4 linked regions of the Rattus norvegicus genome follow. The main gene of each other region encodes a partner of the protein of the gene in region 3 in a complex. Links are inferred from orthologs where the notes say so. Each region holds a gene or a part of one and is shown on either strand. Other genes may lie near its edges.

What was found. Proteins that work in one complex are often made in the same cells at the same time.
Region 1: Crnkl1 (region 3) and Rbmx2 share a complex: the UniProt entries of both Homo sapiens proteins name them as parts of the minor spliceosome. The link is inferred for Rattus norvegicus from reciprocal best matches to the Homo sapiens genes CRNKL1 and RBMX2.
Region 2: Crnkl1 (region 3) and Plrg1 share a complex: the UniProt entries of both Homo sapiens proteins name them as parts of the minor spliceosome. The link is inferred for Rattus norvegicus from reciprocal best matches to the Homo sapiens genes CRNKL1 and PLRG1.
Region 4: Crnkl1 (region 3) and Cript share a complex: the UniProt entries of both Homo sapiens proteins name them as parts of the minor spliceosome. The link is inferred for Rattus norvegicus from reciprocal best matches to the Homo sapiens genes CRNKL1 and CRIPT.

The regions. Positions count from the first base shown.
Region 1 is NC_086039.1:132,765,161-132,769,220, reverse strand, and holds the start of Rbmx2 (RNA-binding motif protein, X-linked 2), read right to left. Parts: upstream 2,827-4,060; 5' UTR 2,820-2,826; coding exon 2,815-2,819; intron 2,626-2,814; coding exon 2,510-2,625; intron 489-2,509; coding exon 437-488; intron 1-436. UniProt on the Homo sapiens protein: Involved in pre-mRNA splicing as component of the activated spliceosome. As a component of the minor spliceosome, involved in the splicing of U12-type introns in pre-mRNAs.
Region 2 is NC_086020.1:170,704,970-170,709,013, reverse strand, and holds the start of Plrg1 (pleiotropic regulator 1), read right to left. Parts: upstream 2,827-4,044; 5' UTR 2,734-2,826; coding exon 2,725-2,733; intron 1,736-2,724; coding exon 1,629-1,735; intron 187-1,628; coding exon 44-186; intron 1-43. UniProt on the Homo sapiens protein: Involved in pre-mRNA splicing as component of the spliceosome. Component of the PRP19-CDC5L complex that forms an integral part of the spliceosome and is required for activating pre-mRNA splicing.
Region 3 is NC_086021.1:153,804,802-153,809,072, forward strand, and holds the start of Crnkl1 (crooked neck-like protein 1), read right to left. Parts: upstream 2,814-4,271; 5' UTR 2,728-2,813; coding exon 2,677-2,727; intron 1,301-2,676; coding exon 1,148-1,300; intron 655-1,147; coding exon 563-654; intron 1-562. UniProt on the Homo sapiens protein: Involved in pre-mRNA splicing process. As a component of the minor spliceosome, involved in the splicing of U12-type introns in pre-mRNAs.
Region 4 is NC_086024.1:13,340,109-13,344,268, reverse strand, and holds the start of Cript (cysteine-rich PDZ-binding protein), read left to right. Parts: upstream 1-1,334; 5' UTR 1,335-1,397; coding exon 1,398-1,413; intron 1,414-3,920; coding exon 3,921-3,986; intron 3,987-4,160. UniProt on the Homo sapiens protein: As a component of the minor spliceosome, involved in the splicing of U12-type introns in pre-mRNAs. Involved in the cytoskeletal anchoring of DLG4 in excitatory synapses.

The DNA of each region.
Region 1 (4,060 bases), on a different chromosome or scaffold from region 3:
ATGACCCATAGTTTTCAAGAACCCAAAGAGAAGGGGCAATACTGCATCTTCCTGAATGCCTGTCTGTTCCAATGTAAGCCCATGCAGAACGAAGCTCAGTAAAAATGACAGAAACGGACTAAAGTCCCTCAGACAGACTCTCAAATGATCCAAGCTTTGGGATCTCCCATGTGGTAATTCTCTGGAACCTTATCTAACCTGGGACTGAGCTAGACTCTAGCCTTCCCCATGCATGGATGTCATTCAGCCTAGAATTAAATGGTTTTCATGGCTTTTTGAGGCAGGGTCTCACTCCAAGTGATCTTCCTACCTCAGCCTCTTATAGAGGTGTACAACTCCACACCCAGCTTGAAATGCTTTGTTGCTGTTACAAAAATACTCTATGGAAGCAAACTGTTCTATGCACCCAGGAGATAGGTAACAACAGAGGACTTACTGTGAGAACACACAGATGATGTCTCCTTCTGTCAGTTCATAAGGAAGCCCTCCTAGAAGAAAACAAACACTTGGGTTCAACAAACATTAAGCAAGTGTTTACTGCATGCTAGGCACTGGAGGTACAGATTAAACAAGCCACAATCTCAAATATATCAGTCTAATCCAATGATAGAATGAGTGGGTATAGTGACAGTAGTCCGGAAGGAAAGTAATTAACTCTCAGATCTCTGTGAGTTCCAGGCAAGCCTGGTCTACACAGTGGTTTCATAGTAAAACTCTGCCTCAAAGAAAGAGAGAAAGAAAGGAAGAAAGAGGGAGAGGGAGGTACAGAGGGAGGGAGGGGGGAAGAGAGAGAGAGAGAAAAGGAGGGAAGGAGGGAAGGAGGGAGGGAAGAAGGAAGGGAGGGAGAGAGAGAAAAAAAGGAGAAAAGGAAGGGAAAGGAGGGAAAGAAAAGAAGAGAAGAGAAAGAGAAAAAAATAGTAACTCTGAGTGGAAAGGCTGGGGTCATCACTCACCAAATTAATTTTATCTTTGAATCCTCACATCCAAAAATCCTATAAAGCAGGTGATTTCCTGCACAAGACTCAATCTCATAAACAGCAAGTTTAAGTATACTATTATTACCCTCACTTATGTGCAAGCTAAGATTTATAAGGGATAATATTAAGCATTTCATAGGAAACAATTTCCCCTCCCTCCATGTTTTCCCTCAAGTGTAAAAATGGGATGGTATCATATTTGCCTCACAGGAGTGTTAGAGAAATAAAGTAAAATGAGGAATATAAAGTGCTTAACACAATACCTATTACAACAGCCTCTTTCCAAAGGTAAACTGCAGGATTTTGGTTGGGACATAAAGTGAATACAGGATAATAATATTGTCACCAGAGAGTTAAGAGTTCCCCTTTTACAAAGGCTAGTAATGTCTTATCTTGATAATATAATTCTAAAGCAGACTAAGGAGGAAGCTTGAGGTCCATTTTATTAGCATTTGAGAGAGAGCTGATAGGGAAGCAAGTTGTAAGCTTCAGCAGCTACTGGGATGAAGGAGCTGCAGAAGAAGCAGCCATGCCTTCTGAATTAGCGGTCAAGCAAGCAGCAATGCACAGAGATGGAGGTAGAGGAGTGGTTCAAGGGGATAGGAGAGCCTTTAGATTTGGAATGAGACAGTCCAAAGTGTTCCGGGCAAGCATGTTCAGGATTCCAGCCAGCATCCAGAGAATGGACAGAAAGGGAGGGCAGGGGATAAGTGAGAACTCAGAATAACAGGTAGACTTAACACAGAGACCAGTAACAACTGCACTGGGGATCATTTCCCTCCCATGTCCTTAGCGTGTCTTTAGATGACTGAGCTTTCCTGACAGGTGACTCCTGGCCAGAAAATTTAAAGCCTGTTGGATTGTCTTAAGGAAGGGGAACACAAGCATGTAACATTTAGGATTCCTGAAAATGTCCCGGTATCTACCCAGGGCCAGGGGTGTAATCCAGACTGTATTCTTTTCATCAGTAGTTTTCCCTTAATGAACAACAAAGCTCACATCCCTCCACATTTTCAGATAGCCTTTCAAATGTTAAGCAGGAGAAACCCTCAATGTCGTCCAAGCCAGTTAATGTCTGTTCTGGTACCTAACAATACAACAAAGAACTGGGAGAAGCAGCCACTTACAAGAGGAAAATAATTCTGAGAAACGGCAGATAATAGACATGCAATAAGGACTAAGAACACAGCCCTATAGTTTTGAGTGATGCAGCACCTTAAGCAAGCCCAGTAACCCCTGTGCGCCTCAGTTTCCTTGACATCACTATGGGTTGCCTGGGGAGTTAACTGTCTCTAAGCAACCAAGTGGCAAGATTTTTCATATAATGAATGGCAAATACCAATTTCTAAGCAGTATCATAGGGGCCAAGTGAAAAAGGAACCTGTGAGCAGACTAGCTGCAAGAGTGTGAGGTGACGAGCAGCGTGTTCAGAGGTGACGACCAGGGGCGCTAAACAACCAGGAGGAAGGGGGAGGAGGGGAGGGGAGGTACAGACTCTGAAAGGCACTGCTAGAGAAAAATGTAGACCTCACCAAGAAAGATCCAGGCGCTGTCTTTGTATTCCGAGTGCCAAGACACCTTTTCTGCCACCCCAAGTTGAACCTCTCGCTCATTCAGTTCGTTGATCAGCTTCACCTTAGTTAAAGGGCTGTGCGGGAGAAGGGAAAGACGTTTAAGTACATTTCCTCACAGCCCGCCTTCTACGTACCGGTCGTCTCCCGCCCCGAGGCCCTGAAGGCGAGGACCTGTCCCCGCCCTTATGGGCGGCCCTCCTCAATCCATTCTCCCTTCCTCAGAGAAACTCCCTCCCCTGTCCTCAGAGAAACTAAATCCTTACTTCATATTCGCATCTTCGCGCTCCGCTCTTAAGACATCAGCTTCCGGGTGAGGCTCCGAAGCGCGCGCGCAACCCGAACACTCAGCTCAGATTGGAGCCAACGGAAATGGAGGCGGGACTTCCGGCGCGCTAAGCCTCGGCACATGCGCAGTAACGCAAACGCGCTTTCTCACGCTTTTGCTCCAGGGGCGAAATAGTTCCCTAGTTATTCCCTGCTTCCCTTTTTGGTGTAGCTCGAAGGTGGGAACCTGGGCGTTACAGTGGATCCGTGTGCTTCTGCAGTCTGAATTAAATGCCCACAGATTTAAATAACGGATGTGGCCTTTTTCCAGAGGCAGGCAAAAATTAGCATTGTCAAATTAGTACCTAACAATTGAAGAGTTAGAGAATGTAAAGGTTCCAAATGATAGAAAATTTATGCATGTTGTCTCTGTTAGGTCTCAAACCCAGGCTAAGTCTCACACCAGTGGCTGCCCCTACCCTAAACCTCTGCCTCCAAGGGGCTCAGTTTCTGCCATTTTCATTTTTCATTCAATCTCTGTTTCTTTACATACAGGGTTTCTTTGTGTAGCCCTAGCTGTCTTGGACATCGCTCTGTAGACCAAGCTGGCCTCCCAACAACCCCATGAAATACAGTTACCACCCCTACTTTACAGAGGAAAAAAAAACTGAGCTTCAACAAATTAGCTTGAATGTCTAGGGAGGTGGTTCAGTGGTTAAGACCATTTGGTGATTTTTCCAGAGAACCTGTATTCAGATCCCAGCACCCAAAACAAGTGGCTCACAACTCCAACTTCAGAAGATCCATCCTCCTCCTCTGGTTTCTGTGGGCATTTGCACTCCCATGGCATGCACAGATATACATACACATGAGTAAAACTAATAAATCTTTTAAAATTTGCTTAACTTGAAATGTCTTGAGCTTGTACCAATCAGGTCAGGCTAATTTAATCATCCCTTATTGAGCATCTAAATTTGTTCTGTACAGTTGGTCTATAGAAGGAATCTGGAGGACTGGTTTTCTGCATGCATAGAACTAATGGTATAAGGGGAAATCTATATGTACTTGAATACTTCATATCATAATTATCATATAATTAATAATTATTCATATCACAATTATCCAGAAATCAGTATGTAAACAGAAAATAGGAGTTCCTTTTTGTGAGTGTTAGGGTCCAAGAGTAGCAGAAGAATGATACCCCCCAGACTCAAATAGTATACAAAAGCAAAGAGTGTTTATTCA
Region 2 (4,044 bases), on a different chromosome or scaffold from region 3:
TTTTCTATTTTAAAACTCCACTTGTAAACCTCATGGTTTTCACCTTGATTGGCAGGATACTGCTTATGAGGATATGAATCTGGTGCGTTTTGAGGTCCCTTCTCCTTAAGATTCTCTTTTGAAGTAGGCATATGCAGCACAGGGCCATACTCATTACGAAGCTTGATTGCCATTTTCCGCTTGTGACTATTTAAAAATCATAAACATGAAATGCATCCTTAAATATTAGAAACACATCACCAATGAAAATATTCAGTTAGCAGAACACAAGTACAGAAAGAGATACTGTATTCCAACTCACAGATCCAGGATGTTTTTCAAGTTAACTAGTATTTTAACAAATATGAAATTTCAAAATGTATTTCTATACCATATGTATTTACTTTACCTCACAATCTACCATACAGTAGTCATTTAATCCAAAGCAGGACCATAGTTTGCAGCTGAATAAACACAAAACCTTTTTCAATGAGGTCTCAAGGGTCCAAGTAAATTAAAGACATACATAAACTAATATATCTTTTAAAAAAAACCTTTAAATGTCTGAATATAGTAAAATTTGTATAGACACCTTTATTAGTAATCTAAAAAGTCAGACCCAATGAAAGCACTAAATTAGCTCTGCATTTTAAAGATAAATGTACTTATATTACTTAAAAAGATAATCCACCTTAAAAATTAAATATAAATGCAAATGAGGGGAATTAAGTAGATTATAAAGAAAAAGCAAAGGACAGAGAAAGGCACTGCATACAACACAATCCCAGACTAGGATTGGTGAGAACCAAGAGTATGCCACTTAGAAGTCTTCACTGTACCAAGGAGCACAGATGGGAGAAGAGATACTGGCCAAGAACAATTTCAGCACAACGAGAGTCTGAGAGCAGGAAGCTAAAAGCATGCACAAAGTGATGCACTAGAAATACGATAACGTGACAGGAATGCCCCTAATTACTGGGTACTAGCTACTTTTCTATTGCTGTGGCAAACACCATAATTGAGGTAATTTAGAGAAGAAAGTATTAATTTGGGGGTCATGGTTTAAGAGGCTAGAGTCCTTGACCATCAGAGTAGGGAGCATGAGAGCAGACAGGCAAGCATGGTATTGGAGCAGCAGCTGAGCGCTTACGTCTGATTCACAAGCATGATGTGGGGGTTGTTGGGGGAGGGAGGGAGGTAAGGGAGGAAAGAGGGGGGGAGAAAAGGAGCAATAGATAGGGGAGCTAACTGGGAATGGTGTAGGTTTCTGAAATCTTACAGCTTATCCCCAATGACACACCTCCTCTAACCCTTCCAAAACAGTTCCACCAACAGAGACCAAGCATTTAAATACATGAAACTATGGAGGCCATTCTCTTTCAAATCATCACACTGGGTATCTGTAAACTATAATTAGATTTTTAAAATAGACAAGAGTTATTGTCTGTCTGGCCAGAGCTCAAGAGACAACACACAAAAATAAGCAAAATGAGTTAATGCTATTTGTATTATGATGAAAAGACACTCGCTACTGCCCAAGTATCCTGTGTCTGCATTTTTAAGACCTTTCAAAGTCACCTCCTCTCTGTCACTTTGCGCTCTTCTATCAATATAAAATACTTTAGCAACTGAAAAGGAATAGAACTTACCTCTCTTCATCCAAAGGCACAGGTTTTCCATTATCAGCCACAAACATGTCATGGGTCCTCTTCAATGACCTGAACACTAGTGTGTGCACAGAATGCTTCTGTACCTCCTGTAAAGAGACAATCAAGATCACACATCTAGCTAGAAGAGACCCATACGCTCTAATCAACATTAGATTCATTACGCACTTTACATGCTAAATACATAAAGGCTAACACTCCTCAGTAACTGTGACAAACTACAGCAGCCAACAACAAAGATGAGAAAGCTCCTGTCTGGTCAGAGTTCAAGAGACAACACACAAAAATAAGCAAAATAATTCCACATTTTGGAGGGTTCGATGGGGTGACTCAGAGGGGAAAAAAGAATTGCTAGATATAATCAAGAAAGGTTCTCTCTGGTGACAGGTAAGCAGAGAGGGAGACAGCCTTACAAAGAATAGAGGTTCAAACAGTGCAAGCTCTGGGAGATGCCACTGCGAAGACGTTCATATAATTCAGAACTGCAGCAGTTGTGAATGCTGCGGGAGTGTGGGTTCCGAAGGTCGGTGGGGTTTAGGCCTCTGCCATCACCAACATTTAACACTGGGACAGAAAGCAGCACTGAACTACATTCCTTCAATGTGTTCGTTAATCGTAAGCACTTGGAAGCTATAGAATTCGTCCAGGCAAAAGATGTTGGGCTAGATTAGGAGGACTGCAGTGGATCTGGAACGCAGTGGGTGGGAATAAGAAACGTTTGGGATACGCAAGAACAAACAAAATCAAGCACGGCAAGCTTTAATGGGGTAGAGATGAAATAACTGTGAAACTGACAAGACAGCACGGACTAGCATCCCAGCCAAGGTGGGAGCATCAGAAGCCCCGCCTCCCAGGAAAGGGCCAGATGCCAACAACACACCGACTGCAAGATTCCTTCAGGCTTCCCGCCGACTGAACCTCGGATTCGGGATGTCATCGGCCTTCCTCCCACCCCGACAGCCCAAGACCACCAGTTTTGGCTACAGTTCGCTTCCCCAGATTCCCAGTACTTTCATCCTACTTCCGTGGGCAAAGCTCCAAAGACAAACGACTCCCGAGTGCCCGAGCGTTACTTTACCTCCACCATGTCGCCGCCGTTTAGTCTACCCGTTCAGCAGCGAAGAAACTCCAAATGCTCGACGCAGAAATCGCCGCCACTATTCTGCCGCTCCTTCCGGAGATTGGGGCCTGTCGCCGGACGTGACGCCAACCGCGCATGCGTATTGGCAACCCGCCGCGCAGGGGTCGAGGGGTGGAGTCTAGCGGTGGAGGGCGGAAGCTAGGCGGAGTTGCGCGGAGACTCGTGGCGAAGAGTAGGATCTAGGCAGCTGCTGGGCGGGACTGGGCGGGGTTTGGGGCGGGGAGGGGCGGGTCTCGGCGGAACTGGGCGGAGTCCCCTGGCTGAGGGCGGAGCTTCCAGCCGGAGCGAAGGGAGCGCGGGCCTTAAAGCCCTGTTTAGGGGAGGTACTTGTTTCCGGAAGCTAAGTGCTGCTTAGAGATTCTAAGCAAGCCGTTTTTCAGAAACCATTGGGAACTTAAGTTGTTTTTACTTTATTTGACCTGATGCTAAACTGTTGACGTTTTGTGTTTCACCCAGATAAAATCTGTGGCTTACGTTCGATCGTTTCCAAGTGTTTTCTATATTGATGTAGTTGCTATTTGTGATCTTAAATAAGGCATTTTCACTGATTGTGCATCTTCCTGAACTGTGATTAAGTTCAATGATCCCGTCCTCAGAGAGTACTGCGAATACTTTGAGAAGGGTGAAAATGTAGCGCAGGTATAGCAATGTGAGCCAGTGCTCTCATTCAAATTCAAATATTTTAATTCATAATTATTCACTCAAATTCAAATATTTTAATTCATGAAAACATGAAGGTCGCATTTTTAGCCTGAAAACAGTCATTTCCGTCCTTTTAGTTTGAGCCTTAACTCCTGAGCCGTCTTTGTAGCTAGCCCACAAGTAGGCATTTCTAAATTTAAATGTGAGTTTAGTCAAAGGATCTTATTTTCTGTAAAAGTGGTCAACGTTTGTATACTTTGCAAGAAAATATTAATAACCTAGAAAAGAACATTTTAAATCACAAAACACTAAGGAAATGTTAGAAAGACCTTAACATATCTATGTTAATATGACTACTAGACAGCTCTCATTAAACTTGTTAGATAGTCATCCTGAACACAACTTATGGACAAGGCTCACAACAGCCATCTTAGAGGTAACCACACTAGGTTTTGCTTTTCTTATAACTCTCGAATTATGTCACCCATGTGAAAATTACCTTCTTGGCTTAATAAGGACCTTAAGTGACCCTATTATCTAGTTATGAGATCCATAAATCACATATATCGTAGGCAGATTTCTTGTTCACATAGGAACCTGTGTTCTTCTTGTTTG
Region 3 (4,271 bases):
AGGAAGCAGAGAGAGAAATGGCAATGTTTGGTGAAACAGGCTAAGCTGCAGGAGCTCCTGGAACTGAGAATGGGAGAGATAGTTGCAGTTTGTTCAGAAGTCAAGGTTGGTGAAGAAAAGGTGCCTTCAAGGGGTCAAGGCAGAGAGCAAACAAATGGCACAGTAATGAGCAATGATGTGCTCAGGATTGGCAAGGACATGGTCACAGTGGAACATGGGTACGAGGGTAGAAAGGCTAGTCAACGGGCAGTGAAGGCCACCATGATTTTTATCTTGACAACAGATTTCAGGAGAACACTCCTATATTTGAAACAATATCCAATTAACACAGAAAACAGACAAAACACTGTTCTTAGCGACAGGAGTACTAGCAGCAAGACCCACATCTAGAACCTCCTGAGACACCCCCTTGACTGTCCTTCCCAGTGAGTGCCTCAGAGAGCTCCCTGGAAAGAAGCTGGAAATTGCTGACACGGCACAGTTCCCTGCTCTCCTCTTCCCAGCTCTCACACGCTGGCTTGCACACTCTTTGCAGACAGTTACTATAGTCGTGGCACTTTACCTTTGAATTTCCTTCAGACTTTCCTCCCATTGTGCGTATTTGATCCAGTTGCTAATCACAGTTCTGTTTTTTCTTATATTATCTTCGAAAGTCTGAAAGGCAAAAGGGGAGTGAAGAGAGTGTATCAAAGAGAAAATGACTTTGCTTCCCCCTTGTAATATACAGCACTCATTTTATTCTTTCTAAGAGAAAATATATCCTAGATGCTGAGGAACAAGAACCTTCCTCCAGAAGGGGGACAATGACAGGTGTTTCTCTAAAGTTTATGGTGACATCAAGAAAAATGTAAGGTGTGTCTTTTAGAACGCTTTGCTGTTCTCCGTAGCAATTAACAACGAGTGCTTTAATAAATTCTACTCTCATTAAGAATAAGAATGTTGAAACAACTTTTAACATTACCTTCAAGTGCTCGGTAACTCGTAGAATTTTACGTATGACTTCCACGATATTAGTGCATTAAATAATCCCAAATACTAGCCTGAGGTCCGATCACATAGGCCCTTTCAGAGTTCTCTCCCAGGCCCTCGCTCCTACTGTGGGGGGCGACTTGGACAGACGTACGCAGTGCATTCTTAACAGACTCACCTTCCTTTTCCGTAGTTTGTAATCGTTTAGTTCTTCCTCGTCTGTGATCTTCTGCTGAGGTGGGGGTGGGAGGAGCTCGAGCTCTCTTTCTTTAGCCTCCCTTAAGAGCTGCTCTGCGGTTATCTGCACCTCTGCTGGCGCTTTGTTCTTCACCTGTTAGGACAAAGAGACATTCCTGCTTTTGGGTAGTGTTCTCCACACAAGATCTAAGAATGAGTCCAAGATGCCATCTTTGAATGACACCCTCAATTCTCCATGAGACAGAACCGGGGGCAGGGGGAAAATCGTACCACTTCCTCTTTATCACCTGCTCAGAGAACTAACTCCTCTAACCCCTCGAGTGGACAAATTGGTTTTCCATGACATTTTAGGCCAACTGAAACTGTTCTTTTTACAAAGTCTCCACCAATAGCCTGTAAGCGCTTTAGTTCCAACACGGTAGCCACAAGTCAAACGTGTTCAAGGTAGATGGACCCTGAGTGCAAACATACTGTTCTAATTTGCTTTCTTACTGCTGTGATAGAACAACACCAACAAAAACAACCCGCAGAGGAGAGAGCTGATTGACTGGCTTACACAACTGGACCACGAGTCCATCATGAAAGGAAGTCAGGGCAGGAAGCCGGAGGCATGACTGATATACAAGCTAAGCTCAGTCTGTTCTTACATACTACTCTGTACCACCTGCCCAGGTATGGCACTGCCCAAGTAGGGTGGGCCCTCTGCACCAATCAGTAACTTGCATACAAGCAATCTTATGGATGAATTTTCTTAGTCCAGACTCCTCTTTCTAGATAACTTGAGCTTGTGTCGAGCTGTCAAAAAATCTAGCCAGGACACATACCATGGTTTTTATGACTCAGGATGCAGGGGAAAAGCTACCACATTAGATTTTTACAATTACATGTGGAAATAAGAACCTGTCTCAAGACCAAAAGGCCCTAGAAGAATCAAACCAGAGAAAGATTGTATGCAATGGCTAAGTGCAAGACTTGATATTCATTAAGCATTGGTGAAGTATCAGCCACCGTTGGAAATAGAATAATTTACTGTCCAACCTAAATGATGCCATTGCACAGAGCCTGTCCTCTCCCATCCCCTCCACTGCCTAACTTTGACGCAGCCTTCCAGTGTTAGCTTCCTTCACAAAGCTTACCCTCAAGTTTACTGGCACCCTTCTGGTTCTTGCCTATAGCATAGTCTACGGGACTAGGCTACATCTATCAAGGTTGCTATTTCGCCCTTCCTCCAGTTTTATTGGAGCACTGTAGCCTCGAGTAAAAGTAGGGGACCCCCAGAGACTAGGAAAAGCAATGAGTTTACCGAACCGAACTGATGCTTTGCATCACAAAAATACCACCCTGGAACGAAGGCTGGGCAGACGCGAGACGAACTCGGAGTGACAAGACCCCGTGCCACCTCACCATGGACCACCTGTCTTCTTGGACCAGGGCACAAAGATCTCTGTCCGGAATCTCTAGTGCCCCACACCACAGATGCTGTGCTTGAGGCTCCTCGAGGTCGCTTACCTTGGCCACTTTAGGAATCCGCTGTTTCCCGGCTGCCGTGGAAGCCGCCATGATTGTAGCCGCGGAACGCGAGCGACCCTGGCCCACACCCGGACTTCAGATACACGCCTCAAAATCCCGCGGCCAGCACCACAGAGCCAGCCCACAACAAACTAGATCCCGGAACCGGAACCGGAACTTGCCAAGGCGACCTTTGACCGCCTCACCAGTCAGGGGAAACGCCGCGTCGTTTCCGTAGCAACCGTGTGCGCGTCCTCAGAGGAGCAGCGCCGCTTGCTGGGACTGCGGGTGAGGTGGGTAGCGCGGGCTGCGCCGCAGGGACATGGGGTTCGGGCGGCGAGGGCTCACCCAGGTCCGTCTCTAAGATGCGTGCAGCTGTAGGTAGTGGCACCTGACAAGGGGCGTAGGAACCCATCTCGGAAGTGGAAACAAGAGGGAGAAGGGAAGAGCGCGGAGGAAACCACAGCCTTGCAAGCAGCTGCCAGGGCAGCGGTGCATGCTGGGATTTGTAGTCTCTGAGTCCCCGCCCCCTCGTCTCGGGCTTCCTCGCGATTGGGCCAAGTTAATGATCTTGAAACGTGGATTTTTTTTTTTTTTTTTTAAATAGAGGTATTTTTGCAACAAGATGTTAGAGAAAGGTGGAAATTAGTAGCAAAGCATCTACAGAAACTGGTACATTTGGTACAAAAACCAAATTTTTAGTCTGTAAATTTGTTTTCATTATTTCAATTCTGTTATCCTTTGACTATAAAATGAGAGAAATACCTATTTCCTTAAGATTAAAGAGAAAATCTGTCTATGTAAAGTGCTCGCTAGATGTTAGTATGTATACTATCCGACGTACATTCAGAAACAGAGTTACTGAGCATATAGTTAAGATAATTTTTTTAAATAAAAATTTTGAGATTGACGGTAAAATTGGGAAGGTGAGCTTCTCCTACTCCCTCTTTCCCCACCCTCAAAGGGCTTTCTACGATCCATTCCCACCCCTACGGTGGTTCATCGTCAGCATTGGTGAATTTACACTGACACATTATCAGTTAAAGGCTGTTACAGTTCACCCTTGTACTGTCTGAGATTTAGGACAAAGGCAAGATAGTCTGTGTCTGCTGTTTCTATAATCTACAGAGTTCCAAGCCATTAAGATCCTCAGGGTACTGCCTGTTCATCCTTCTCCCCTTGAGCCTTTGACTGCCAATACTCAATTTTTAATTTTTTTAAAGATTTATTATTTATATGAGTACACTGTCACTGTCTTTAGACATACTAGAAGAGGGCATCAGATCCCATTACAGATGGTTGGTTGTGAGCCACCATGTGGGTGCTGGAAATTGAACTCAGGACCTCTGGAAGAGCAGTCAGTTCTCTTAACCGCTGAGCCATCTCTCCAGCCCAATACTCATTTTTGTAAGCATTTTTTAAAAATTCTTTGAGTTTTGCATTTTAATCATAGTCACTCCTCCAGCTTTCCCCGGGATCTACCCCATTCCCTATCTACCCAACTTTGTGTCCTTTTGGTTTTCAACCTTTTAAGACCAATTTGTGTTGCCCAGATATTTTTGGATATGTGGTCTTCCATTGGAGCCTGGTCAACT
Region 4 (4,160 bases), on a different chromosome or scaffold from region 3:
CAGAGTAAGATGGTCATTATGATAAACTAGGGGCCCACTGTCTGTTACAGATGCTAAATCCTACTAAAAGCAGAACGTAAGTGGGAGGAGAAGCAAAGGTTTACAGTCCCTAAATACATGTGTTTGACCTAAAGAACATTTTTTATGTTATATTGACTAAAATTAATTAAGAACTTTAGCAATTGTTACAATGTGGTAAAAATCCGGCCCAAAAAGGAACATCCACACAAAAGGAGGAGAAATTAACAGGGAACGTAAAAGTGCAAGTCTGGGCGTTGTCCTATTTGCCCTCATTTAATTCACACTATCGTTTTCAAAGGCAAATATGGTACTGATTAAGCAAACCGGCTAAACAAGTTAGCAGAAGCGGCCAAGGTTACACACACTAAAGCCATTTCAAGTATCGCCTCTTTAACATGAAGACACCCTCCGGGGTCCGGACAAGAACGGATAACAATGAAAAGACTTCGGAAAAGTTTCTCAGATTCTCCCCTCCACTGAGGGATCGGGCAGGTAGGGGGATCAGAAATCCATCCTCTAAGTAGAGCTTGTCTCTGGGCCACCTGCAAATCCCTATCTAACACGGCGAGCCGTGCCCAAACGCAAAGGCCGGTTGAATGGAGCCCTTCCTCGGGCACCGGCGGGCGAGTTTCCCTAGCACGCCACACCTGGGAAGCCGCCCTTCGGAGTCGCGATCCCACGAGAGCCCGGTGGGAAGGCATGGCTGCTCCCGAACCCTCCTGAGCAGCCTTTGCCCGGGCGCTGACCGCGGCTCAACCCCACCCAGGTGACTCTGTCCCAACCCCGGACAGCGCGAGTGTGGGCAACTGAGGGGCATCATCAGAGAGAGCCCGGGCGGCCGACCCGGTAACCTGAGAGACGGTGACAGAGGGTCGGTCCCGCCGACAGACGCCGGGATCTCAGAGGGTCCGTCGCGCCATGCATCCTCTGGCCCGCCGGAAGCGTGGCGCCTTGGAAGCCACGGCAGCAGTCCGCAGAGCGACCTGCACCTGCCCCAGGAGAACTTAGGAAGCATCCCTCCCGCTTACCTAACTCTCCCGCCCGCCGAAGGGAAGGGGACACCACCGCCTCCCACCCTCAGGTGCGACAGGCTGCCATGGCCCCTCGCGCAGGCGCAGACCAGAAGGCGGGGGACTCACAAGCGGATAGCCAATCGTTGAAGAGAAGAGGCGGACCGATAAAGGAAGCCCCGCCCATGAGCTCGCGTTTATCCCTCCCGCGACTTTCTCCATCCTGGATAGGCCGGAGCGGGAGGGCTGAGTACGGAAGCGAACTGACGTAACCGGAAGAGGAAGTCTTCTCAGCTGTGTTGTTGATGTATTTTGGCAGCTGCTCCTGCTTTGCGGGTTGAGGGGGACAGGACGACCCGTGGAAGGATGGTGTGTGAAAAGTGTAAGTTAAGGCGCTGCTTCTGTGGGAGGTGGAGGCTGGAGGAACCCGACGAAATTCTCTTGGGATTTCGGCCTTTGTTTTTTCTCACCGGTCTGTAGTATAACCTTTGTCTTCCTTCCTTGCCCCACGGTCCTTGCCTATCCCGGGACCCTATAGCCCTATGCTTTGTGTTCAGAATGGTCTCAGTTCTGCACATCTATGCTTGTTTCTGTCACCGTCCTCGCGCCCTCCTTGGATCTCTTTAATTATAACTTCTTGACAGGATCCCAGAGACTTAAAAATCTTTCTGGTAGCATCTAGAGTTGCCAGGTGTAACAAATATAAATCCCAGGCTCTCAGTTACATTATAAGATTATAGGCAATGATTAATTTCTAGTATTATTAATATGTCCCGCATAATATTTAAATCTTGGCTTTTGTTCGCTGTTCCTTACTACAAAACATGCCGCATTTAATACAGATTTTACTTTAAAAATTAATTCAGTGGTCATCTGAAATTAAGTTTAATTGAATATCTTATACCATCCCGTCAGTTCATTAATACAGCATTAGGTCAGGTGAAGGAGAGAGTCTCATCACCACCAAAGAAATCTATGTAGTCATCCCTGGCTTTTAGAAAGGTCTTTTTAACTCTTTAAGTTACCATTCAGTAATTCCAATGAAACCCCTGAGATTTGTTGAAAATACTTATTGTTTTGTTTTTTCGTTTTCTGTTTTTTGTTTTTTACTGCAAAAGCTGTTGATTTGTTTAAAACAGCTTTCTTTTCTTGATCTCTTTCTTGGGCTAGACAGCCTTCTCTGACAAGATTCCAACTTGGATCTCAGTTAATGGCTAATATATACAACCACAGTACATAGAACTCTGGACACAGACACCACCTAGTAGCTGTGGCATCAGACTCAGCCACCATTCTTTTTTTTTCCAGTAAATTCTATTTCTTTATTATTTTTGAGATAATATAATTGCAACATTTCTTTCTTCCATTTCCTCCCTCTAAACTCTCCCATATATCCATCAAATTCCTGACCTCTTTTTTCACTAATTGTATTGAATGCATACATGTATATAGTTGTTTTATAAATGCAGCCTGCTCAGTTCATATATTGTTACTTGGATGTATGTTTCCGGGCTGACCATTAGCACTGGACAACCAATTGGTATGCCCTTCCCTCGGGAAGACCACTCCTAGCTACCTTCATCAGCTCCATTCTCAAACAGCTTTTTATTCTTTTTGAAAGTGGGGAAAGTGTTTAATTAAATGTGGCCTAAATGTAGATATGACCCTGTCCTTTGTGCTGTGCAGTAAAAGGCCATTTCTTTCTATTATAGTTACTCCTCTGCTCTTCTGAAAAATCTAATGTTTTACTATTTGTAACCTCCTAGTCTGTGTGCTCATTACACTCACCCTGTATGTAAACTGAACTCCTGCTCATACAGAAGCTGTACTGTCAGGCAGCCACCTCAGTTCTGCCTTTCCTTCTGTCATAAGTTGCTCAAAAAGTTCTTTGTCTCCAAATTTTTAGAGTTCTCTTCCATTTACTGGGTTCCAGGGTGTTTGTCTTGGTCTGCTTTGTTTCTCTTGATCCATTAGATCTTTGGGAAATGGTTGACCTCAGCTAGCACATCCATACCACTGAGTATCCAGTTCACCTCTCCACCTGACCTTTTCCCTACTTAAACTCTAAGAAGTAACTGTCCATTTGGATCTTGACGTCCGAGGCCCTCTACAGACAAACACCTAAGCTATCCTTCCAACCTCCTTTCTCCCACCTCACACTGAGCTCGCCAGAGTACTCTGTGCACTGTGGTACCCCTGAGCTTCCCATGCCTGACCTGGGGATGTGTCCTTTATTTACTGTTTGACTTCATCTCCTCATCTACTTTCCCAACACTTAAGCTCCATCTCCTTAGTTCACAGCTCAGGCTTCCAGCTTATGGTTCTACTGAAGGCTTCTTCACTTTTCAGAAAGGCTCCAGTCAGAACAAGAAAAGGTTATAAGCACATGCTCTAGGTTTCTGTGCAGTCCCGCCTGCTTCGTTTCCTCCCAGCTATCAGCCTACAAGCTCTTAAGGAGCTCGTGAACTTGGGTCTAAGCCCCTGAATCTAGACTCATGGCTTTGTTTTCCTCAGTACCTCCCACAGTGCTTTGTACAGACTAGGTGATTAGAGAATGTGGGAGAAATGAATACGTTTGTCAGAATTGTTTAAAGTATAATCAGTGGAACCTGTTGGTAGGGCATCTTGTTGTCCTGGAAGTTTTATTTAGAACCAGTATCTGTTGCCCACAGTTGCTATCATTCATTCATTGATTTCTACCCTGGTGTTAGTAGGTTCCTACTGTAGTCTCACTTTTCATGTCATTATGTACTTCAGGCATAATACAGTATATTTATTATTTTAAATTATTATTGTAACGTTAGCAGAGAAATGCGTTTTGTTATTTTATTTCCACACAGTGTGTGTATTAGATGACAGTTGTACTCTTTTGCTATCTTGCTACAACAGGTGAAAAGAAACTCGGCAGGGTTATCACTCCAGACACATGGAAGGACGGGGCCCGGAACACCACAGGTACTGCTTGCCAGTAGGAAACAGGAGCTGGATCAAGTGCTTGTGGACACAGCTCTAGGGCTTCACTGTTTGCAGAGTGCAGTGTTAGATGATGACTCTCTCGTCCATTAAACACAAAGAGGACCGGATTCCCCTGTGAATTCATATCTTTTTCATCATCTGAGTTTCATGAAT